3 linked regions of the Struthio camelus genome follow. The protein of the gene in region 1 interacts with the protein of each later gene in a pairwise test. Links are inferred from orthologs where the notes say so. Each region holds a gene or a part of one and is shown in the gene's direction. Other genes may lie near its edges.

Region 1 (7,967 bases):
GCGCTCTACTTACCAGTAATCACACCTGCAGTTAGATAGATCTGAACAATGCTCGTGCAGAAGGAGGCGATGACCATCCCCATTGATGCAAAAAGGCCACCCACCAGCATGACAGGGCGACAGCCAAAGCGATTGACACATACACTGCAGAGTGGACCTGAACAAGAAGAACGAGTTACAGTTACTGCGATAAACCAATTTTTGCAATTTATTTTTGTGTTTGCAATTCTTTCCTTACTTTGCCCACATTGTCGGGCCAACCTGGGAGGGTTTAGTCATACAGTTAGTTGTTTTCCTCTTCAGAATGCCACGCACATTTTCTTTTTTAATCATCTTTCGTACCTACTTAGTTACAGGGATTTAATTTTTATACGCAAGGTGGATGCGCTTAGATTTCTGGATTGACGTGATCCACAATAGTTGTTCTTTGGAATGCCTTAATTTTTGCCTCAGTAGTGATAATGCAATGATGATTCCCGATATAAATGTCTGTATGATTTACATGCAATACTGTTTCAAAAACGGGTGACTACCTACCTGTCCCATAAAGCATGGCCAGCAGAATGGAGGAAATCCATGCAGTGTCACTATATCCAACGCCAAATTCCCGGATAAGTTCTTTGAAGAATACACTAACTGCCTTAGGAAAGGCATAGGAGAATCCTGTGATGATAAAACAGCCCAAAAGGACAGCCCAGCCCCAGCCTCCATCAGGGGCTTTAACACCAGATGGACCATCATCAGCTACTACAGCTCCCATGATGAAACTCAAAAGTGTTCCCTAAGACATAAAAAAAAAAACACCACACGGTTATGGGCTATAGACATTGGGACAGTAATCTTACCCGAATTACCCCAAGGTAGAAGTTGTACTACAATTAAAGTTACAAACAAGATATGTGACTGCTTTAAATACCAATATTGAAGACACAGGGCTACTTTTAACTATTCCTTGTCAGAGTTTTGTCAAGTTAAAACCTGCAAAGTTACATAGAAATGAGACCCATACAGTAGAATTGTAAGTGAATGTCCTCTCATAGCTTTCTCAAAGTCAAAACTGATTGGATTTCAACCAAACCACCATTTCACAGAAAACTGAAGCCATTGCAGCTGTTTAGGGATGGATTTGGCTTTCATAAAAGCGTAGCAATTACCGCATTAGGGTCTGGGCGGGTTTTGTTACAAGGCCTCGCTATGTGAAGCTACTGAATTATTCACTTAGGAGACCTGGATGCAAACTGCTGGTCTATCACAAGTGTTTTCTGCAACAGTGGACATAGCACTCGGGCTTTTTGTTCCTTACTGAGGACAGCAGTACAGCCCTAATGCATAGCTATCTTGAGACACCTTACAGCTTCTGATGAGCTATCAATTTCCATGCATCAAATAAATACCTAAGCTAAACTGTAATGAAAAACTTCATGGGAAAGTTTTGTGGAAGAAAGAGTTAATAACTGCAGCAATTTCTTTTCAGTATCTCAGACTGCCTGAAGCAATACTTTCCATTGGTGGTATTATTACTTTATCAATGTAATTTCCCAGTATTACATTTGCTGAATCTTTTTCTTCACATCTTCCATATGCAGCCACAAACTCCTTTTTAAATCTCCCTAATAAAAACCTTTTCTTGCACCAGCGTTTATGTACTATGCAGTAATGCTGCTGTTTTAAAAGAGAGAGAGAGGCTGAGAAAAAGACAGTGGAAAAGGCAGATAAAGTGTGCATTTATGTGGAGATAGCAGGGAGATACTGGGCATCACAAATCTAGACACAATTACAACCCCTTCTCAATGCATACAGCATCTGTGCTAGATGAACACATCGGCAAATGGCCAAAAAAATCCAATAGCATCCTTGATTCAAAAAAACCTCATTTAAAAATGACATTTCAGTGTGTAATGCACTTTCAGATAAGTCTACTTATAAACATATAGTGTTCCAGTTGACAAGTATATCAAAAAAAGAAGCTAGCTAGTAACTCAGAAAATAAGGGGCTTCTCAGACACGAAGCTTCCTCTGAAGTATAACCTTAAAAGCAGTTTTTCCAAAACAACTTTTCATACACGTGTTCCAGGGTGAGCGGCTGCCTTGAAGTTAGGCCCATGGCTTACTTCTGCCCTTCAGGTAGATATTCTGGGACTTGTAGTTACATGTTAGTACCGTGTGATCACAGCCTACAAAATGCTTCCTAGGTACCGGGCAAGGGTCATAGGAAAACCTCTTCTGCTTGGCATAAAGGAGAGTTAAAAGGTTGAGCTTGTAGCAAAAAAGTAAGAAAGACTCTCAAAAAAAAAAAACCCTGGAGGAGGCATAAGGGCTACCAATCTTTTGAAACAGGAAGTGGTTTATAAACGAGTAAAATAGGTATGAGTAGAACAGGTAGCTGGGAGCAAAGCGGACTAATTGCTGACAAATAGCAGTAGCAGTTTTCTAATACCTAGTGGCATTTGTTTAATGTCCAGTTTCTCCTGTCAAATGTATATTTGATGCATTCTCTACTTTTGCATATATAATTAGGTTTCTATAGGATATGCTTATTATAGAAGCCTTGAAAATATAAAGTGAAGCATCAAACAAATTATATATTAATCTTGCTTATGTAAAATTTAATCACTTGTTTAGAAATGCAAATGACTGTTCCCACTGGGTCATGGTTCCACTGTAATGCTACCTGGAAGAAGAGTGCAAGCACAGTTGCACATCAGAGATGTCCCTCAGTAAAGAATGCTTCTGCTTTGAAAAGCATAGGCCAATATAGTGATAGCGATGCACTGGAATTATGTAGTTCTTAACAGATCTATTTCTGAATCAGACTATATATGACACAATATTGTTGATGCAGACTCGCTGTCTAGACAATTGAGCACTGACTGCATGATTGTTAATAGGCCTGAATGAATGTACTTACTATGACATCTAGACCAGCACTGCTGCTTCTTGGAAGAAACAACTTCATATAGAAGACCCAGATGTAAACCTGGCCACGACTATAGCTGATCTGTGCCCCTGGGCTGTTCAAGAAGGACAATAAGCCTCATACTACTGGCTGCACCTCTTGTTTTCTGCAAATATAAGCAGGTAACAGTATGTCTGAACTCCATGCAATTAGACTCCAAAGTGGTTAAACATGGAGTGAAACAGAAAACAATAAAACTAAGCATCCTAAAATCAGTGCCATGATTCTAGGTGTCTGGTTCATTTGCTGACTGCCATAAGAACATGCTCTTAGTTTGTCAGACTGGGCAGTCACGAGTTTGGACCTAGTCACTAGTTTTGGACCTCTAAACATGTCTTAAGATGCAGACCTCACGTCTGCAAGCTCTCCTCACATTGGGATCCGTCCCCTCTTCAAAACTGTTTTCCCAGTAACTTCTGTATGATGCACATTCATACAGCAGTCTGTGATAATGATTTTTGGTTGGTAATATTAAATTCACTTTCCTCGAATTCTCCAAAAAAATCTCCTCTCCTTTATACTCACTGAATGTTTTGCTATGTATTTATTTAGGCACTTCAGCCTTCAATGCTAAAAACCCCTAAACCTCTACTGAATTCTACTATTGTGGACATTTATTTCATTTTGCCTTTCCTGCTTACGTTTGAAAATCCAGGACTGAATTTCTATCTGAAATACAGAAAAAAATAGTCTTTCGGGAAATAAAGAATCTTCCAGGGAGGAAACATCCAACTAGCTTATCAAAAAAAAAGAGGTGGAGAGACAACTTGGTTAATATGCAGTTATGCATTTTCTCCATCCAGACAAAGAGCAAAAAGGCGTTTGTAATATGTCAAAGAAGGAAGTAAAATATTAAATACAGAAGTTCATTGAAAACTTGGTGTACCTGGACAAGTGAAGTTCCTGGGACATCAGCATACTGTTCAATAGCTGTTCAATAGCTTTACAATCAATCCATCTAGCAAGCTGTTCTGCTACCTACTTGCTCTTCCACTCTCCACCCACCAGATGACAATATAATGTGTATTAAAGGTCTGCTAGTGTAAACCCCTAATAAATAACACTTTTTAAATCAAAACATTGTTAGAATCATTCTGAGTGAAATAAAACCCAAGCCAAAGTAACGAGTTTGTATTCTTCAAAAAGGATTGTTTTTTACAAGCAACAACCAGATAACACAGAGTACGTGCACTAAGTGTAATACATTCATGACACTCGTAGTTCTGTAATATTGAGAACAGGAAAACGTTGATTCAAGTGTCTCAGCTCAATTCTATGACTAACAGGAATAAGAAACATAAAACTGCAAGAATCTAGGGGAAATGGGGTTTGATCACGCCCATTGTGCCAAAATGGGAGGGAGACAGAACACTTCAGCTGGAGTGAATGTTTGAAATATTGGTGGAAGAGTAAATTTCACTTGTTATTCTTTTATAATGAGCCATCTAGTGGCAACATAAAATAAGTACTGCGACATGAGCATGTTTCGTTGAAAAATACCAGGCAGCAGTTTCTCCAGACCACTTATACCGTGCAGGACTGGAACCTTCAGCCCTAGAAATGGAAGAAATAAGCCATTTCTTGCCGTCCACTGCTGTGGCTTTTCCTGCACGCAGGCGAGGACAGTCTCCTTTACTGAATCTATAGCAAAGATCTTCTGATGGTAATCTCTACAGACTTCCCGTGCTGGACCCATACAATAAAACTACATCCCAACCATCTCAACGGCAAGTGGCTCTCTGTAGGAACTGGCATCAAAAGCTATCTGGCAGCACACTTGTTCTATCCGGAAAAAAACGTCAAAGCTTCACGGAATTTCTCCCGGTGAGCACGAAACCGCCTCAGCACGCGATGCCACCGTAGCTGGTGCAAACCCGGACCGGAGGGCGGCCCCAGCACCCTCCAGCGCCGCCCTTCGCTGAGCTGCCAGCCTCCGGGCAGAGCGCGCGGCGGCGCGAGCCACCCCGGCGGGGCGCGCGCCCGGGCGGCCGCCGCACTGAGACGTGGAGGACGTGACTGGCGGATGGGTGGGGCTCTTACCGTAATTGCAGGCGGAGGCAGCCTAGCGCGCTTCCCGGAGGCGGCGCGGGCGACCGTGTCTGGCGGAGCTCGGCGTCTGCCAGCGCGGCCGCGACGGGGCTCGCGCGCGGCGGCCTGGGCGGCGCCGAGGCTACAGCAGCGCCCGCAGCAGGCGCTCCGCGGAGCCCGGTCTGCTCGGGACGGGGAGAAACGCCCTCCGCCCTGGCGGGTCTTGTGCCGCTTCCCCGCCTAGCAGAGCAGGTCAAGCCGTGTTTCGTTCCACCTCGCCTATGGGGCTGATCACACTTTGTGTGCCCTAGCAGTAGGAATCTTTAAAACCATTTTCTACTGTGATGTGAGGGGCAGACTGGTAGCTGTGGGGGGCTTGGCCTACTTCCAGCCTTCCAGAAAAATAGGCTTATGGGGAAACAATAACATCCATTTACTCTTCTTTTCATCATAAATGTCCATTAGCGTGCACGGCTAAAAATCACCAGAAAACAACCCATCAGGCCCTCGAACACCACCCTGTTAAAATTGGACTAAATAGGCATACTTCTACATCAATCTTACTCATCTGGTTTAATCCATCAGTAGTTCATGGCAATACGTAAGAATTAAAAAAGCATTAACCAGAACTAAATGAACCCTGTCTCTTTAAATACAGCAGAGAAGACGCGATTCGTGGAGCCGTGGAGCGAGAAGCCCGTTACTTGGCTCGGCTGGACTGCCTAAACCTCCTTAAGCGCTAATAAGGAAGTAATGGGTAAGTTCCTGTGTGAGAGGTTGTGCAAGCTTGGGTTAGGGTTGGAAGAGCTGGACTCATGGTTGATTAGCAGAAACAAAACTTTTTCATATAATTTCACTTCCGGTGCTCACTATTGAGGTCATAGCCTGCCAAAAGGAGGGTTCTGTGTAACCATTACTAAAGTTCATTTTTTTCTTTCTGCTCTTGCTAGCTTAGCCTTGTCAGAGAAGGATCACATTTAACTGGCTGTAGCTCAGATTCAGTCCATACAGCAGACATGACAGAATTGCCAGTATTTATTCCAGAGTCTATCATAAACGGGCTCTTGCTTTTGCAATATGTGAAACAAAGGGCAAATGTGGTTAAACCTGTGTGCTTTCATGCTCTTGATATCATCTCCTTATTCCCTTGTAAACCAACACAGGATACAATACCCTTAGGAGGAAATATTAGGTGATTGATTGTTAGCATTATGGATGGCGGATTTGGTGCAATGGTACAGTATATATACAAGGAGAGCATTTACATTATAAAAAGCAGCCCCAAGAAATAAGAAAAATCTAATGCTGATGTTTAGCCAGTACCTTTATTTGCCATGTAGCAGTACTTTAGGGCCAGCGGTGTGGGTAGGAGGGACGTTTGTGATTATGTAGGCTGACCTCCTGTATAGCTAGAGGACTTCCCTTGAATTAATTTAACTAGGGCAGATGTGCTAGAAATCTATCCAACCTTGAATTCTTAGGCTAGTAATAAGTAGTGGTTATCAAACAGAAAACAAGGTCTTGCACTTCCATATAGGGATCCCAGTTCAGATTGAAATCCTACTGGGTTGTTGTACAGTCACAAGAGGAAGAGTGTCCAAGTTGATCAATGTAGAGATCCACGTTCAGTTTCTTATCCATGGAATTTAGAGAATAATACTGCTCTCTTCATAGGGTATTGAGAGTATGGACACACTGAAAAGTGTAGGATGCTTGATACTATGGTAATAGGAGTCTTAAACCTCCTAAACCTCCTGTATTTGCCCAAAGATATTAAAATGTAAACAAGCGAGACAAAAGATTTATTATCTTCATTTTTTGAGTGAAGAATTCTAGGACTAACCATCTTCACTGAAATCATGCAGGAAATGACCCTTCCAAAAATCAATTTACTTCAATATCCTCCAGATCCTGCTGATAGCCCTCTACTGCAAAACAACTACCCTTTACAAGGATGTATCACAGGCATCTGCCTACCCAGCCTGATTCTAACTATTTCCTGGTGCTCTAAACACTAATTCATATATCTTAAATTCTCATCTATCATCTCATTTATTTACAGTTCATTCTTGGGTACTTCCTACAAGCCATCTTGATGGGCCACTGATCTGACACAAGAGTGCATTTCTTGTGTCTCAACTGCCTACGTGCCAGCCATTTTAGTTAAACATCCATTTCCAAAGGCTGCTGCAAATGCCCATCCCCTACAAAATCATTACCGTATTTACCAGTGCCTTCCATGACCTCCTCTCCTCCCCCTCACACCGTGCAGTCACTTTCACTCTCCCAGTTTGGCCTCCTTTGTTTTATCAGAGACAGTTTTCCAGTTCTGCAGGATCTGTGTCCGCCTTTCTGAAAGGTTTGCCAGCTTTCCCCATTCATCCATCTGTCTCTCAAAACTCCCAAGAAAAACCATGCAGTATTTCTGTGCTGTCTATAGTTGTAGGTGATGTTCCATGCCAACACCTACTATCAATCTCCTGTCCCCACTTATGCTCCAACCATTATAGTGTTATTTCGCTGCTGGAGCTGCAACACTGTACATCACAAGTTACCGGCCTGAACAACGCACATGCTTGCTCATGCTGCAAGCGTATGTGTAACAAAGGATGGTGACCAGTGTCTTCATATTATCTGGGTATTAACTGATCTGTAGAGGAAGTCGGGCTTTTTCTGCTTTTTTAATAATGCGCATGTTAAAACAGTGCTCATTATATTATTTGGGAAAACTGAATTATATTGTTGTTTTGGTTGGTGGTGGTGGTGTTGGTTTTTTTTTTTTTAAATAACAAGCATGATATGAGCAAGGACCCCCAACTTATTCTGGGCCATAAGCAAAAGAACAAGCCACAGATCTGCATACTAACTTGAAGCTGAAAGGAAAAATACTAGTGTGACTTTCTTCTTACCAAGAAAGGAATAGCTTTTTTAATCTTGATGTAAAATACTTGCATAAATATTTTCTTTAATTATAAATACAACT
Region 2 (7,877 bases), on another chromosome or scaffold:
AGCAGAGCCAGGCAGCGGGTCAGGGAAGGCGGCTCTGCACCACCTCTGCCCCGGCTGCCAGGCAGCTCTCCAGGAGGGACCCCCGGTTCACCCGGGGCGCCTGCTCGCTCCTGCCGGCGGCGGGGAACGCGGCCGGGCAGGGGAGGGGACGCAGGGCCCTCCGCCCAGCCCTGCCCGTCCCGGGACCAGAGCCCACGGTGACGGAGGGCGGCTGCGCCCGGCGGGGCTGCTTCCCGGCCGGGAGCTGCTCTGGGGGGTCGCGGCACGGCCGAGGGCTCCACTCACCACGCACAAACACCTTCGTGCCCCGTCCCGACGCATACCGCTCATTCTGCCCGTCTCCTTTCTTAAACTTCACACAGTAATAGGTCCCGGCATCCTTGACTTGGATGTCACTGATGTGGATGGTGAAGTTTGTGCTGGATTCATTCACTGCCCTCGTTACGCGGGGGAAGGAGCCTTTCTGCTCATAAATGAGCTCTTCCCTGCCGCCCAAATCCTTCAGCCACTTCACGGGTCCCACTACAGGGAGCTCAGACACGGTGCAGTGCAGGGTGAGCGTCTGCCCCAGGGACACGGACACCTCCGCCTGGGGCTGCTGCAGCTGGAAGTTCTCCTTTGTCTGGGCACCTGCGCAGCGAGAGGAGGGGTCGGGGCTGCGAGGGTCCCGCAGGCAGGGCGCCGCACGGCCACCGGCCCAGCCACACGCCCGCCGGCAGCGCTGCAGGGCCAGGGCGCGTGCCGGGTCCCCGGGACAGGCGGGAATAAAGCGAACTCTTCCACTGGGGATAAAAGCAAGGAGCAAGGGGAGAAGGTGAGGGGAGAGCCCCGAATATGGTCAGGCGCAGGGGAAGGACGGTTCTGCCGGCGGCCAGGGAAGGATGCAGGAGAGCGGGGCGCCGAGGTGGCCCCGTGCCCGACACTCACCCGTGGCTCTGCAGAGCAGCAGCAGCACCAGGCAGGCGAGAGCCAGCGCCGGCGTGGCCGCAGCCATGGCAAGACCCGCGTCCCGCTCCCGACCGGCTCGGCTCGGCTCAGCCGGCTCGGGGGCTCGGGGAGGACTTATCGCAAATGGGGAAGGAAGGTCACGACAGCAGGCGAAGTTCCTCTGCCACCTCCATGCAAGGCCGGAAGGTTTCCAAATCGTTTTCGCCTTGACACGTCACGAGGTTGCGTGCTTGCCAGCCGTCGGGGCTGCAGAGCCGCCGTCCCACGAAGCGGCGCTGCGGCGGGTCTGCAGCCCCGCGAGCCGCCCTGCGCCCGCCGCCGCCGGGGGCCGTGGGCGCCTGCCGCCCCGCGCGGTGTCTGGGTAGAGGGGCCTGGGCAGAGGGGACGGCGGCGTGGTGCAAGCTTCGCCTGCCCGCCGCGCGGGCTCCTCTCGCTGCCGCTCCTCCCTGCAGGCCGGGAAATCTCGCGCGCAGCTCTGAAACGTGCAGCCTGTCCCGAGGCGGCCGCCTTCCTCGCGCTGCGCCTCGGCTGCAGGCTCCGGCAGAGGCGCTCCCCTGCCCCGGCCGCGGCTGCTCCCGGCGCCGGCCGCCCCTGCAGCAAGCTCCGTGCGGGCAGGCTGCGGTGCGCGCAGAAGCGCTTCGACCTCGGATGATGCATCTGAGGGGTTAAGCCCTGCTCTGCTCCCGGCCGGCGCTGCCTCCCGGCGCCCGGGTCCGGCACGCAGCCAGGCAGGCACCAAAAGCGTTAACCGCCCGCGCCCACTCGCTTCCATTTCCTGTGCAGCTTCTCATTTTCCTTCTCCTGAAGTTGGAGCTGAAACTTTCGGTGGCGCCGATGGCTCTGCGGGCGGCCGCCGTGCCTCCCCTCCTCGTGCAGCTGCTCAGCCTGTGCCCGGCCCCGCTGGCGGGTGAGTAGGGCGCAGCGCCCCGGCGCTGCCCGCCGCCCGGCCCCGCCGCTCCGTGCCCTCTGTCCCGAGGGACGCATCGCGCGGCAGGGGACAGCCTCGCTGCCGGGGGCTGCAGGGCTGCGTGCCGTTCCCCGGGGGCGAGGGAGGCGCACGTCTCTGCCGGCGTCCCGGCGCTGCCGGGCTGCAGCATCTCTGCCGTTTCGCCCGGGGCCGGGCGGCGAGGGGCGCGCGGGGTGCCCGGGGGGTTTGGAGGCAGGAGCCGGGCTGCACGGAGAGCCAAATCCCGAGGGCCGGGAAAGGCTGCGGGCCGCCTGCGGGCTCGGGGCCGGCTGCCCGATAAACGCTGCCTGCTCGCGCTGGTGGTTCGCGGCGCGTCCTGGCTCTTCCTCCCCGGCGTTGCTCCTTCGTCTGCCTCTGTAGACCCGGAGCACCTGCAGCATCTCGCGGCAAGCAGCCCCCCGGGTTGGGGGGGGCGAAGGATCTCCCCCCGCCGTCCGCTTTGCGCCTGCCCTCCGCCAGCCCCACTTGGGGCAGTTCGTCCCTGATAGCGCTCAGCGAAAGCGCCGCGCAGGCGCCAGGCGGCTGCGGGGGCTCTGCCCGGGCCGGTGCGAGCGAGGGCAGCCGGCGGCTGCCTGGGGCGCTCACTCGGCCCCGCTGCAGGTGCCGGCGCCCGGGCGGCCGCGCGCGTCCAGCTGCAGCAGCCGCAGGCCGAGGTGTCCGTGTCCGTGGGGCAGACGCTCACGCTGCGCTGCGCCGTCTCGGAGCACGCTGGAGCGGGACCCGTGAGGTGGCTGAAGCCCTCGGACGGCAAGAACCGGACCATTTACGATCAGAAAAGCTCCTTCCCCCGCGTCACGAGGGCGGCGAACGGCTCCAACACAGACTTCACCATCCACATCAGCGACGCCCGCCCCGAGGACGCCGGCACCTATTACTGCGTGAAGCTTCGGCCCGGGTCGGAGGAGCAGGTTTATTGCTCGGGGCCCGGCACGACGGTGTCGGTGCACGGTGAGTCGGCGCCCCCGCGGCCCCCCGCCCCGGCACCGTGCCGGCGCCCGCCGCTGAGGCTCGTGTCCCCGCAGAGAGGGCCCCGTTTCCCAGCGTGGCCGTCGCCGCCGCGGCGCTCTCCATCCTCCTCCTCGTCCTCCTCGTCGCCCTGTGCGTCTACCAGCGGAAGAGGGGAGGTGAGCGGGGCGCCGGGCGGGCTGGCCGGGCGCTGGGGGCTGCCGCGCGCCCCGCTCACCCCTCCTCTCCTTCGCTTGGCAGGGGGCAGCCCCGGCAGCCCCGGGTTGGCACCCGCCGCCTGCCGCCGCGAGGAAACTCTGCCTTCTCCATCTGCCTCCAGGTTTGCACCCGCTTCGGAGACTTGGGTTTTTCCCCCCCCCGGAAAAGAGCTTGCATTCGTCGGCGCGTCGCTGCGCTGCGTCGCTCCCGTCCGCGTCAGCCCGGCGGTAAAACCCGCCAGCTGGCGCCCGGGATGGGCCGGGGGCCGCCGGGAGCCCCGCGGGCCGGGGGGGGCGGCTGCTGGCAGCGCTAACGGCAGTCCTTCTCCCCCAGCAGCCGCGTGCCGGACGCCGAGACCTCACCTCCGCCCGGCCAGGTAGGAGCGGGAGGCGAAGGCGAGGGAAGAGCCTTTGCCAAGGGGGTTTGGGGACGCGGCGGCTCCGGGGCGGTTCGGGGGGCAGCGGCGGCGGCCGCCGGGCCGAGGGGCGGCCGCGTTGCCGAAGGCGCCCGCGGGCTCCTTTGTGCACGGTTCCCTCGCGACGGCCTCACCCACGCGCGGCTCTCGCCGTTGCAGCGGGCCGGCGGGCCGGACGCCGACGTTCACTACGCCGACCTGCGGCACCTGCCGGCGGCCCCGCGGCGGGCGCGCAGCCCCGGCGCCCCCGGCACCGAGTACGCCAGCATCCGGCTAGCTGCGCGGTAAAGCCTGGTCCCCAGCCGCGACGCCCGGCCGCGGGCCCGTGCCGGGGGACGAAGCGAGGACCTTTTCTGCGGGACGCGAGGAAGAAGCGGCAGAGGGGCCCGGCTGGCCCCTCTCGGCCCCTTTCAGGGGCACTTTGTGGCCCCAGGCGGCTCGGCGCTGTCCTGGCGCCGCGGGCCCTTGCTGGCTGCCCCTCCGGCCCCGCCGCGCTCAGCCCCGGCGATGCATCGCCTTTAATAAGGCGTCTGCGAAGCCGCCCCAGCGGCCGGGCGCGCGGCCGGTCGAGTCCCGGGCATTGGCGCTTCCCCACGCCGCCGGCGGCAGCTGCCGGAGCCGAGCAGCTCGAAGCTGGGAGCACGCGGCCGCCGCGCGCCTCCGCGGCCGGGGACGGAGCGCCTGGCCGGCTCGGCCTCCCCGCCGCCAGGCACGGCGCCTGCCGCTGGGCTGAGCACGTTTCCGGGCCGGGAAACCTTGCGCTTCGGCCCGTCGCTGCTGCCTGCGCCCCTTGAAAGCTGTTTGCAGATGCCAACTTCCAATTTCCTTTCTCTGTTTTTTTTTTCTTTTTTTTTTTCTGTGAAATCAAAATAGAGAAGTGAAACAAGACAGCGTGCAGCGTCTGCGTGTGCATCTAGGTACCGGGGGTTTATCTGCGAGCAGAGAGATCCTGCCGACGGGCAGAGCGCTGCCGGGGAGGGAAGCCGCTTACGAAACCCATTTGCATGCGTGTCGCAGGGGACATGTCTTAACACCTGGGCACGCTTTGGGGACATTTCTTTTCTCAGTGGCAGCGCCGAGTCCTGCATGCAGCGCCCCGGCCGCGGGCGCAGCGCGGGGACGTTTGCAAAGGCAGGAGCAGGGCGGGGGCCCCGGCGCCGCGGTCCCGAGCTCCGGCCGCGAGCCCGGACCCAGCCGAGCCCCCGAGCCCCGCGGGGCAGTGGCAGAAGCTGGGCCGCGGCCTCGATGAGCGGCGACCGGTTCCCCGGGCAGGTCAGCAGCTGGCGCGAAGCGCGGGCCGGAGTGCCCCGTGCCGGCGGCCGCCAGCGCCGCGTCCTGGCCGCGGGCCGCCCCGAGGACGCCGGCAGTGGCTGCGTGCCGCACGCCCCAGCGAGGACTGCGAGCAGCGTATGTAAAACCGGCGGCTGAGAGCGAGAGCGGGGAGACACCTCGCCCGCACGGGGCAACGAAATCCGATTTAGGGCGTTTTTCAGCATTGGGCTGGGTCGGGAGGGGGAAAATCCAGCGTGATGAAAGCATATGGAAAGCAGCGAGCGGCGGGCTGGGAGCGCTGTGCACCTGGGAAAGGGCGCAGGGCTGCGGCTTAGTGCCCGGGAGAGGGATTTGGTGGTTATTGTGGGAAAATCCTTTAAGCCAGCAGCCCGGGTGTGCCGGCAGTGAAAGCACAAACAAGCGGCCGAGCAGGTAGGAGCGCGGCCGGGCCGGGGGGCTGGGGCGGCCGGGGGGCAGCGGGCGCGGGGATTTGGTGCCGATGCGGGGCGGTTTTGCCCCAAGCCGGGCGTGGGGAGGGCCGGTGTGAACGCTGCGCAGAGCCGGACCGGGCGTTTACCCTTGGTCCGCTCCCTCCGGGACGGTGTTATCGGCACTGCGGCGGGGGGGAGCGGGTGAACGAACGGGCCGGGAGAGTCCAGCCTCGTCCCTCGCAGCCGGCTGACGGCGCAGGCTGATGCAGCCGGGTCCCGCTTTAGTGGCTGCTTCTGTCCCCGAGACCTGGCGTCCACCCGAGACGCCGCCCGCGCTTTGGATCGCCCCCGGGGCTGCACCGGCGCCGTCCCCGTCCCCATCCTCGTAAGTCCCCATCCTCGTCCCCTTTCCCTGGGGGCTCCCCAGGAAGCCCCGTCCCCGGAGACGTGGGACATGTCCCGCGCCAGGCCGCCGCCGCGCAGCAGCGCTGGCATCCGACGGCACAAGCAGGGCCCCGGCCGGGCGCTGAGACGCTCTGAGGGGATTTCGGAAAGGTTGGGAGGGTCCCGGGGGGTGCTTTGAGCGCCCCTAGGAAAAGCCACGCGGATCTCTACCGGCTCCTGCTGATTTATCCGGGCTGCGCTCCCGCGGGGAGAGGGACCGGAGGCAGAGAGGCCGAGGACGCCGCGCAGCCAGCGCCCGCCCCAATCGCACCGCGCTATTCAGGCGACGTTTCGGGATGCAAACGCTAGCTGGAGAGCTGAACGCGCCCAGCTGGCTCGTGGGGAGCCGCCTGCCGCAGGTGCCCCCCGCCGAGCGCCGGTCCCCGCGGGGCCGTTCGGCTCCCGCACCCGGACCGCCGGAGCGGGCAGCCGACAGCCTCGCCGCCAAATAGGCATGTCGAAAGGGGCATGTTTTTTGGGGTAGGGCCGCCCCGGTTGGCCTTTCCGTGTTTGCACGGTGCCAGACGGGCCAGGGCACCCGGCGATACCCACGGGGATATCCGCGCTCTGGCCGCGGCCCTGCACTGCTGCCGCCGGTGGTCCCCGGTCCCGCACCGCCGCTGCCGCCGGTCCCCGGCCCCGCACCGCTGCTGCTGCCGGTCCCCGGCCCCACACCGCTGCTGCCCCTGGTCCCCGGCCCCGCACCGCCGCTGCGCCGATCCCCGGTCCCGCATTGCCGCTGCCACCACTCCCTGGTCCCGCACCACCGCTGCTGCCGGTCCCCGGTCCCGCACCGCCGCTGCCACCACTCCCTGGTCCCGCACCACCGCTGCTGCCGGTCCCTGGTCCCGCACCGCCGCTGCTGGCTCTCTGCAGCCAGCTGGCCCGTCTCCTGCGCGCCAGCGCGGGCGGCATCGCCTCGGCCGGGCTCCTGCGGGCGTCCCACCGGCCAGGGACGGCGACGCGACCCCGCCAACCTGCCCCTTCTCCGCTCTCTGTTTATCAGGGCAGGATTTTCACGGGGAAGCAAGGAACGGAGCGGAAGTAAAATGGTTACGTGCTTTACGCTGTTACTCATTTCGTGTAGTACGTATTGAATCCTGTTCGCTGGTTTCACGGTTATTGCAGATTTTTATTAAAGAGGATAAACAGTTTGGGGATTCGGGGTTGTCATAGGAACTGCTTTTGTGCCTTGTCCTCACCTCCGGCGCTATTATTCCCCCCAATTTCATGAGTTAGTGAGGGCTCAGCTCTTTCCAGCCCCATGGATGTTTTTCCAGCCCCATAAGCACAGCTTGAGTAAAAAACACTCGTTACGGAGGAGCCGCCGTCTGCCGGGCCGAGGGCGCTGGGCCGGGCGGGGGGCGCTCAGCGCCGCCCGCGAACGGCCCCGCGAGAGGCCCCGGCGCCGACGGGGAGCCCGCGGCCCCGGCACCGCTGCAGCCGGGAGCCAGCGGAGCGCGGCGCCGGGCAGGCGGCCCTCGAGGCTGCCGCGGGGCTGTGCGGACTCTCCGGCGTCTCGTAGCAGGTTGTGCCCAGGCTGCTGCGGCCCCGCCGGGGGGGGATCGCACTCCTGCGCCCGGTCCCGTTTTTGTGAAATCCCCGGCGGCGGCAGCAGCAGGAGGAGGAGGAGGAGGACGGCAGCTGGGCTCTGCCCTGCCCGGCCGCTCTCCGTCACGGGGGGACAGGCAGTGAAAATGAAAGCTGCTGAACACGCTTCCCGCCCAGCGACGAAAGGAAATCCCTTGCGCCCGGCCCGCGTTTAGCCTGCGCGGTCCGTCGCCGCAGGACGTCGGGGAGGCCAGCGCTCCGGCAAGCGCGAAAGAGGGATTTCCCAGGTCCGCCAGACGAACAGGAGCAGCCAGGGCTCAAGAAAGACTCGCCTGACGGGCCGTTGCTCGGGGACGGGGAGGAGGATCCGGCGGCAGCGCCCGGCCCGGGGCCGGCGCCCGCAGAGGAGCCTGCACGGGCCCGAGGGGGCTCCCGCCGGCTCCGGCGCCGTCCGGGTGCCCCTCCGGCCTCGCAGACGCTCCGGCGGGGGATAACGCCGCTGAGCCCCCTCCCGGCTCGCCCCGCCGCTGCCGCCAGCCGGCCCCGGGTCGTCGGGCCCCTCTCGGGCGCCGGAGACCCCCTTACCTCTGTCCTCCTCCGGCTTTCAACCCCGCCGAGTCCCGCGGGAGCGCGCGGGAGGCTGGGAGCCGCCGGCGAGGTGCAGCCAGAGCTGCCCGGGCACCTG
Region 3 (7,549 bases), on another chromosome or scaffold:
CTTGCACCAGAGAAGGGAGTCCCAGACAGCAGGGAGCTCCCAGCATTAACTTGTATTAGCCTTCACCATAAAGAGTTATATTTTCCTAGCAAGACCAGACAGCCTGGAGAGCAGAGCTTTAAAGGGAGGCAGACTGGCCTGCACCCACAGCCTCCCAAAATAAATTATGACCTGTGAGAAACATTAGTACTGTAATACTATCATAGTCTGGATGTAGATATCAGAAGTATTAATGGCATTGTCCACCATCAGATTTCATATTTACTATTTTGCTGGCCACGAGAGGGAGTCCCTAGACTTCCAATCAAATTCTATTGCAAGTCTTCCATTGAAGTGAGGAAGATTTGAATTGTTTTTTTTTAAGCTTTCACTTGTTAGCTGGAGTAACAGCTTTTAAAGAACTAGGAAAGACACAGCTTTGAGAATATAACACATTTCCTCATAATAGAGGAGATTAGTGTTAGCACTTTCACAGTTTTTTTTGATTCACCCAGCAGTACTTTCAAGCAGGTAAGGGGAAAGGTGTGTTTAGCTGTTATTAGGAAGTATTATTCAAGCAGTTTGAGGATTCATAGTGTGAACCAGTCGTTCTCCCACCAGTAGAAAGTGAATATAAATTGTCAAAGGAAAACAGGCCCTCCTCCAAATCAGTATATCTCCTGAAGTACTATTTCTTTCCCCCGCCCCATAGGGAGTTGGATCATGTGAAAACAGCTTTTAATATTAATCCCATGAGCATCTTAAATCAGCTGCATTTAAGGCATGTTAATTGTAAAAAAAAAATAGCAATATTACTATGTGGACATTTTAACATGGATTTATTTTTTTATATATGTTTCTTCACTCCAAGCTCTGTGGAAGCAGATAGATAAACAAGACTAGCTGCCTTCTGGCAATAATTCAGTCACTTTATTCTGAGCAGAATTAGGGGTACAGAGTTAACAGCTGCAGCTACAACTGCACCAATTTCATTGTACAACTACCATCAGTGCTGCCCGAATACTGCTCAAAACAGCCACCAGAATCTCAAGTTGCATTCAGTTATTCTTCTTGAGAAGAGCTGAGTGAGATCAACTGAGAACAGATATAGCTTTTAGGAACAGGGAACGTTCAGAGATAAAGCCACCACCCCCCCCTTGCTTTAGGGGTAACTGAATAACAAGTTCTGAACAATACTATAGTTTGCATCTTGGAAAGTTAAGAGAACATCTTTTCTAAGAAAAGAATTAGAGAAGCCATACTATTCCCATATAAGTTTTGCAGTTTTGAAATACTCAGGCCATTGTTGATGTCTGGTGAAAGTAAGCTAGTTCCACTATCTCAGTGGAACAGAGACACAATGATAGTTTTTTTTAAAACAACCTACTAGGAAACTAACAGTTCAGAATTCCTCAGGCAAGATAATACAGTCAGCAACAGTACACTGTCTCATTCTCTCTTCCTCACTTCAAGCCCTTTGTTGCAAAATATCTTAATAGATTTCTGCAAAGCCATGACCACCTGTTTCCACAGCTTTCAACAATGAAAATATCAACCACCTTCATAAAGGCTTTTGTTCTAAGGAAAAAAAAAAAGTCATCTTTCAGCACAGCACCAAGATCCAAAACAGAATTTGAACCTTAAAAACCTCATGGTTTATCAAAGATTTTTTTTAACACTAGGTAAGTTTATTTGCACATTATTTAACGAGGTTCTTCCACTCATACATTCAGGTATCACAGCTGAGCAAGGGCACCTGTGTTAAAGTTTTAACATTAAAGAGTGGTTGGATGCATAAGTGCTAAGCTTCTAACTCCCAAACAAGACCTGTTCTAAGAAAACATCCAAACAGAAATAAAGTGCCAGTGTGATCTGGCATACTACCTATCCCAAGAAAGTAGCATCATACGACAAGTAAACATTTTGGTCGTGTTCTTAAAGAAACATTGCTGAAAGTAGAACTAAAACAATGAAGTGCAAGTGCTTGAGAAAGCTGGTAGAACAACATACTTCAGGCTCTACCATGTCATCCCCAGCGCACGCTATGAGGTGCACAGATATAATAAGGTGATGGGAACCAAAAGTATATATGAAGGACAGTCAAGATTACACAGTCGCTTCAGATTAAACAAGTTGCTTGTCTCATGCCACCTTGAGAATCTCAACCCAAACAAAGGCCTCTCAAAACCGACCAGTCAGTCAAGTCTGACTTGGACTTTCCAAGTCAGGGAAACCTCTGCCTCCAACTCTACTTCTGTGAGCAACAGCTTCAGGCACCTTTTTTTCTTTTTTTTTTTTTTTTGGGGGGGGGGGAAGAGAAGCTTACTTTTGTGTAACGATGTGGGTATTTCGTTGTAATTCTGTTCAACTCAAGGAAAGCATCCCCATTTTCAGTTTCCGTTACACCTCCTCTTTTATCCATGGCTACTTCAAAGCCTTTGGCCATGGACCTAATAAAAAAAACAAAATCAAGGCATCAAATTTTAAGACACGCGTTTCTGGGGGGGGGGGAAGGGGGGAAAGGGGTGCATTTTCCTTTCAGCCCCCCAAACCATCCTCCAGATGTGACGCCTAACAACCACCACCGCCAGCCACAACAGCACGTTTTTCCTACTTGTCGCTTCCCCCCCTCGGCTGAGCGGCGCCAGCCGGCCGCTGCCCGCGGCTCCGGGGGCGGCGGCACCGAGAGCCCCAGCGCGGGGGCGGCCGGGCAGCGCGGCGCGGCCCGGCCCAGGCCCGTGCCGGGGCGCCGAGGGCCCCCGCGCCCCGCTGAGGGGGCGGGGGCGCCGGGGCAGGTGACTCAGCGGATCCCCACCTGCGCCGCGGCCGCTACTCACCGCGCCGGCGGCGGGTCTCCCGGCGGCGCTCCGCTCCGCTCCAGGCCTCACCGCCGCCGCCCGCGGCGCTTCCTGCTCCCGGCCGCCGGCTCCGCTCCGCCGCCCGGCGCTGCCCGCGGCGGCGCCCCGCTCCCAACCCGCTCCCTTCCCCCACCACCACCTGCCCCGGGCCGGCGCCGCCGCCCGCCGCCGCCTCCGCTCGCGCGGCTCCGGCCCCTCCGCGGCTCCTCGCTCGCTCGCGCGCCCTCTCCCTATTCGCCCGACTCTGGCTCTCCTCAGCCGCCGTAACCGGGGCCTTCCGCTGCCCGCCCCGCACCCCTTTAATGGCCCGCGCGCAGGCGCGGCGGCGGGCGCGCGCCGGGGCTCCCCGCGCCGCGCCTGACTGGAAAGGGCGGGCGGCGGCGGCGGGGAGCGCAACGCCGCCGCCGGCCTGGCGGGGCGCCGCGGGGCGGGGGGGGAGGCGGCCGCCCCGCCGCCGTCTGTGGCGGCCAGCGCGGCGGCGGCGGGTGAGGAGAGAGGCGGGCAGCGCGGGGGGGCCTCAGGCGCGCGCCGCGGGCAGCCCCGCGGGGGAGGAGGCGGCGGGACGGGGGGGAGGGGGGCGCCATGCGCCCGGGGCGGGCGGGACCGGCCTGGGCCTCGGCCCCGGCCGCGGCGATCGCGCTTGACAGCGGCGCGGCCCGCCCGGCCGCCCCGGGTCGCTCCTCTTCCCGGCGCCGTGCCTGCGGGCGCAGGGCGGCTCCCGCGCTCGGAGGAGCCGAGGCGCCTTCGTTTTCGGTCCGTGCGGGCTTCGCCGGGGGGGCGCCCGGCGAAACGGCCTCGACGGGCTGTTTTCTGAAGGAGCGCGCGTGCATAGACGGTGAAGGGACGAGCCGGAAAGGACTACACATACCGCCCGCCTCCATTCGTAGCCCTTTTTGCATGGGTTTGGCGGTTTACCCTTTAAAACAGTGAAGTGTACGTTAAAAAAAAAACGAGCCAGGCCGTGGCCTACACGCTGCACAGCCCTTCAGAAGGTTTTTTTTTTTTTTAAAACGCACTTTATCGGGCTGCCACCTCCGCTCGGTGCAAGCTGGCGTGCCGGCAGGAGAGCAGGCGGGGAAACGCGGGAGGGAGCGGGGCAGCCGGGGCGGGGGCTGCCGGCAGGTCGTGAGCGAGGAGCGGGGCGGGGGCCCTAAGGCCCCTCATGCCCCAAACTCCTTGGACGGAGCTGCACGGGGAGCACATGCAGCGCTGCTGAAGAACGGGCGGGGGGTTTGTCCGTCTGTTTGCCAATTGCCTGAAACGTCAGTAGTAAAGATTATATGTGCGGTCACCTGTGGAACGAAACAAAACCAAACATTTCTCAGTCTTTCCGTAGCTGACAGACCTAAGTGCTGTAGCACGAATAGGGCAGCGCTGCGACTGCTGGAAACTTGACGCCGTAACGCGTACGCTCCCGAGACGAGCGCCGCGGGGGGCCCTGAAGGGCCTCTCGCCTTGCTTTAGCTTCCATAAACGCCCCGATCCTCCTGCTTCGCGCCTTGCGAGGGAGCACAGCCGCTCCCACAGAAAACCCGGGCCACCGGCGAACCGGGGCCGGGAGCCCGGGGCGGCCGCCGCCCCTCCCGCCTGCTGGGGGCCGCTGCGCGCTCGCCCCGCCCCCGCCCCGCCCCCTCTCCCTGCGCGCGGGCGGCGCGCGCCGCGCTGAGGCGCCGCCGCCGCTGCTGCTGCTGCTGCCCGCGCTGTGGTGAGGCGGCGGCGGCGGCAGCCGGGGGGCGGGGGGGAGCGTGAGGGGGTGCGGAGGGCGGGAGGAGGGAGCGGGGGGGGCAGCTCCTTCCCTGGGGGGCCGCTGGGGTGCTGCGTCAGCCGCAGCCGGTTTTCCCGCCGTCCGCGGGGTTTGGGCTGGCCCTGGGTGGTGTTGAGGGTTTCGTTTTCTTCGTCCTCGCGTGCTTGCGGAGGGAGGGGGTAGCGTCTGTAAACAACAGCGACGCGAGGAGGTACGAAAGGAATCAGTTAGCGTAGGTAGCAGGTTTCCCACACCTCGATGGTTTGGAAACAGCGGGTACGTAGCTTAGGGCCTCTTGGCCAGTTTACAGCCCTTTTCCAGTCACGGCCCTGCTTAGCTAGGCGCTGCTGTGGTCTTAGCGTTCAGCTCGTTGCCGCTGTCCGTGGCCGGTAGGGTCTGCCGGCACAGGGCCGTTGGAGCCCGCAGGGCCTGGGCGTGCAGGGGGACGCTGCTCATGCTGAACATCTGCCCTATACTCTGCGCGCAGGGTGGGTGAGGGGAATTCAGGTCGTTTTTAAGAGCTGCAGAGTGAAATTAGCATAGATGGGATTTGATCACATCAGAAATAACAAGAAATAATTTATGCTTTGTCCCAAGATAACATACAACCTTCCTGTGCAGAGAGTGCGCTTGTTTACTGCAGGCTGGGAATTGTAGGCAACATGGAGAAGTGCAAGAGCAGGTAAGCAGTAGTAAGATGCTGCTTTGTTAAAGGACTCGGGCGTATTATTTTCATTATGACAACTTATGCGTTCCATGGCACAGAAACAAATTAAGATTTTTTTTTTTAATTAATTTCCATGGAAGACTCTTAATCAGAAAATGTACCTCTTGGCGGGGGGGAATTACCTTTGTGGTTTATGTTACCATAACGCTAAAATACAAAAGTGAAGTTCTTGAGCTTCAGGTATTAGACTGGGTCATAAGATACTTGGATACAATTGCTTGCCCAGGCACAAATTTCCTCTGTGATATTAAGCAATTCTCTTATCTTTCACATGTTTTTATTTCCTGACTTAAAAAAGGGAAATGATCCTTCTTCAACCCTTATTTTTCTTGGCTACTTCACATAAATTCTCAAGCGCATGGGTTGCCGTCACTGCATATATGTAATAGCTCTCACATACGGTTCTTGATATTTAGGAATAATCTATTATAAATTATGTTTATTGAAAAATCATTACATATTCACATGCCCTGGACTTTTGTTAATACAAACTTCTACATGTTCCACCCATGCTTGATTTTTACTGTTTTCTGTGATGTTGCAGCTGTGTGCATGATCAGACTAAGTTTACCTTTGGAATAGAGTAGAAGGTTTTGAAGGGAACTGGGTCTAATAGAAATGCGCAAGAAATGTACTGGAAGCAATTTTGCATAATTTAAAAAGTGTCTGAAACTCTTTTCTTCAAAAGTGCACGCAATTGCCTCAGCTGCACATCTTGACATGCACAGAATTCTCTTGTCTGCCAGATGTGGCCCTTCTCTTTCAGAAAATAATCAAAATGATATTTTATAGGGGAACAAGAATTTATCTCTGTGGCAAACTACAGGTCTTGTTTTCTTTCGTTAGGTTTGTTTTAGCTTCTTGCAGCCTGCTGGAATGAGCCAAGAGTACTATTTTTTCTTCTATGAGATTTTAACTAATATTGGAATTTTTTTTCTAATTTATTGTGAATGCTTTGAATTGGTGTTCAGCTGAACTCCTGAGACCTATTAGTGTGGATTATTCCAATAACTGTGGACCAAGATTTTTCCTGGCTGCAGCCATATATTTTTCCTAGCTCTCCTCAGGTGATTATTGGGATGAGATTTCAGACTGTCTCTTCTGTTGAGTGTTAAGGAGTTCAAGAATGTTTTTGTGGTTCTAATGTGCAAATTTTCAGGGTGGTGACAGTATTTGTTTTGAGAAAGAAGCTTCAATACAACTGGTTCAACAGGTTTTATCTGGTTAGTTTTTTTTTTTATCATGCTTGTTTTCAGAAAATTGTTGAGGCAAAATACTTAGAATTTGTAAAAACATTTTTCAAATGTTATTTTTCAAATTAGAGCTAGGCTTCAAAATAAACTGCATAATGGAAAAATGTACTTAATTTTGCTTTTTAATGATGGCTATATGAAGACAGGAAGGGATTTTTAGTAATTTTTTTCTTAAAGAAAAAACATAACTGATGCAAGTATAAGCAAAACTAGGGAAGATCTCCTTGTAAACAGACTGCATGTGTAAGTGGCTTTCCTATTAAAGTGATCATTGAGAAATCCTCACCTCAGTTCTGTAGTCCTCAAGAGAGTTTTTCAGCAGTAGACAAAACGGCTTGATTTGTTCAAGAATAAAAAAAGGCAGAAAAACACATTTAAGTCTTATTATTTTCTGTAAAAGCCTTAATTTTTACTGTATATAAGTACATGGGAGGGGAAGCACAAATGCATTTTAGTTCTTTCTCATTTCAACTTTAAAGGAGAAAGGAACTGTCTGTGACATGACTGCTCTGAAATCTGACTTACTGCCGTTCATGGGGAAATGGCCTTACGATTCCAGAAATAAAGTTAGTGAATAATGCGTGACAAGAGAGATGTTAAATGTGTTGTAACGTTGGGTAGCTGTCAGTTTCTCTATGTGATTGTATAGCTTTGTTATAGGTTAATCCATAGAAATGATGCCGCTTCTTTACAATTAACAGGGTCTTACACACAGTATGTTTTCTTTTATTTCCTTTTTAAGTTCAAAATCTCTGAAGATGCGTGCAACCCAACAACTGCATAGACCTAAAATGCATGCAGCTGGTCACTCTGCTGCTTGTCAGTGTGTTGCTCCACGATCTGCTGGACATCGATTTCAGAACGGGGGTCATCACAGTCCATGTCCAGTTGGGTGTATCTGCAATCAAGGAAGAAGGTTAAAAGAACTCCAGATCAGGTGATAAGACCAAAACACAATTTTCACTCAAAGGAGCAGGGGGATAGTTCT

Evidence for each region.
Region 2: the proteins of CCDC57 (region 1) and tyrosine-protein phosphatase non-receptor type substrate 1-like interact in a two-hybrid assay, tested with the Homo sapiens proteins (2 studies listed by BioGRID). The two-hybrid records come from large-scale screens. The link is inferred for Struthio camelus from reciprocal best matches to the Homo sapiens genes CCDC57 and SIRPA.
Region 3: the proteins of CCDC57 (region 1) and SFI1 interact in a two-hybrid assay, tested with the Homo sapiens proteins (2 studies listed by BioGRID). The two-hybrid records come from large-scale screens. The link is inferred for Struthio camelus from reciprocal best matches to the Homo sapiens genes CCDC57 and SFI1.

Annotation. Positions count from the first base shown.
Region 1 is NC_090960.1:98,426-106,392, forward strand, and holds the start of CCDC57 (coiled-coil domain-containing protein 57), read left to right. Parts: upstream 1-4,898; 5' UTR 4,899-4,983; intron 4,984-5,038; exon of another isoform or gene 5,039-5,236; intron 5,237-5,245; exon of another isoform or gene 5,246-5,642; 5' UTR 5,643-5,741; intron 5,742-7,967. Other genes in the region: SLC16A3 (monocarboxylate transporter 4), read right to left, coding at 14-157, 538-781, 2,909-2,956. UniProt on the Homo sapiens protein: Pleiotropic regulator of centriole duplication, mitosis, and ciliogenesis. Critical interface between centrosome and microtubule-mediated cellular processes. Centriole duplication protein required for recruitment of CEP63, CEP152, and PLK4 to the centrosome.
Region 2 is NC_090959.1:18,179,379-18,187,255, reverse strand, and holds the start of tyrosine-protein phosphatase non-receptor type substrate 1-like, read left to right. Parts: upstream 1-4,855; 5' UTR 4,856-4,901; intron 4,902-7,877. Other genes in the region: signal-regulatory protein beta-1-like, read right to left, coding at 286-630, 928-994. UniProt on the Homo sapiens protein: Immunoglobulin-like cell surface receptor for CD47. Acts as docking protein and induces translocation of PTPN6, PTPN11 and other binding partners from the cytosol to the plasma membrane.
Region 3 is NC_090958.1:8,296,793-8,304,341, forward strand, and holds the start of SFI1 (protein SFI1 homolog), read left to right. Parts: upstream 1-4,463; 5' UTR 4,464-4,542; intron 4,543-4,729; exon of another isoform or gene 4,730-4,792; intron 4,793-5,178; 5' UTR 5,179-5,243; coding exon 5,244-5,263; intron 5,264-7,303; coding exon 7,304-7,498; intron 7,499-7,549. Other genes in the region: EIF4ENIF1 (eukaryotic translation initiation factor 4E transporter), read right to left, coding at 2,306-2,425. UniProt on the Homo sapiens protein: Plays a role in the dynamic structure of centrosome-associated contractile fibers via its interaction with CETN2.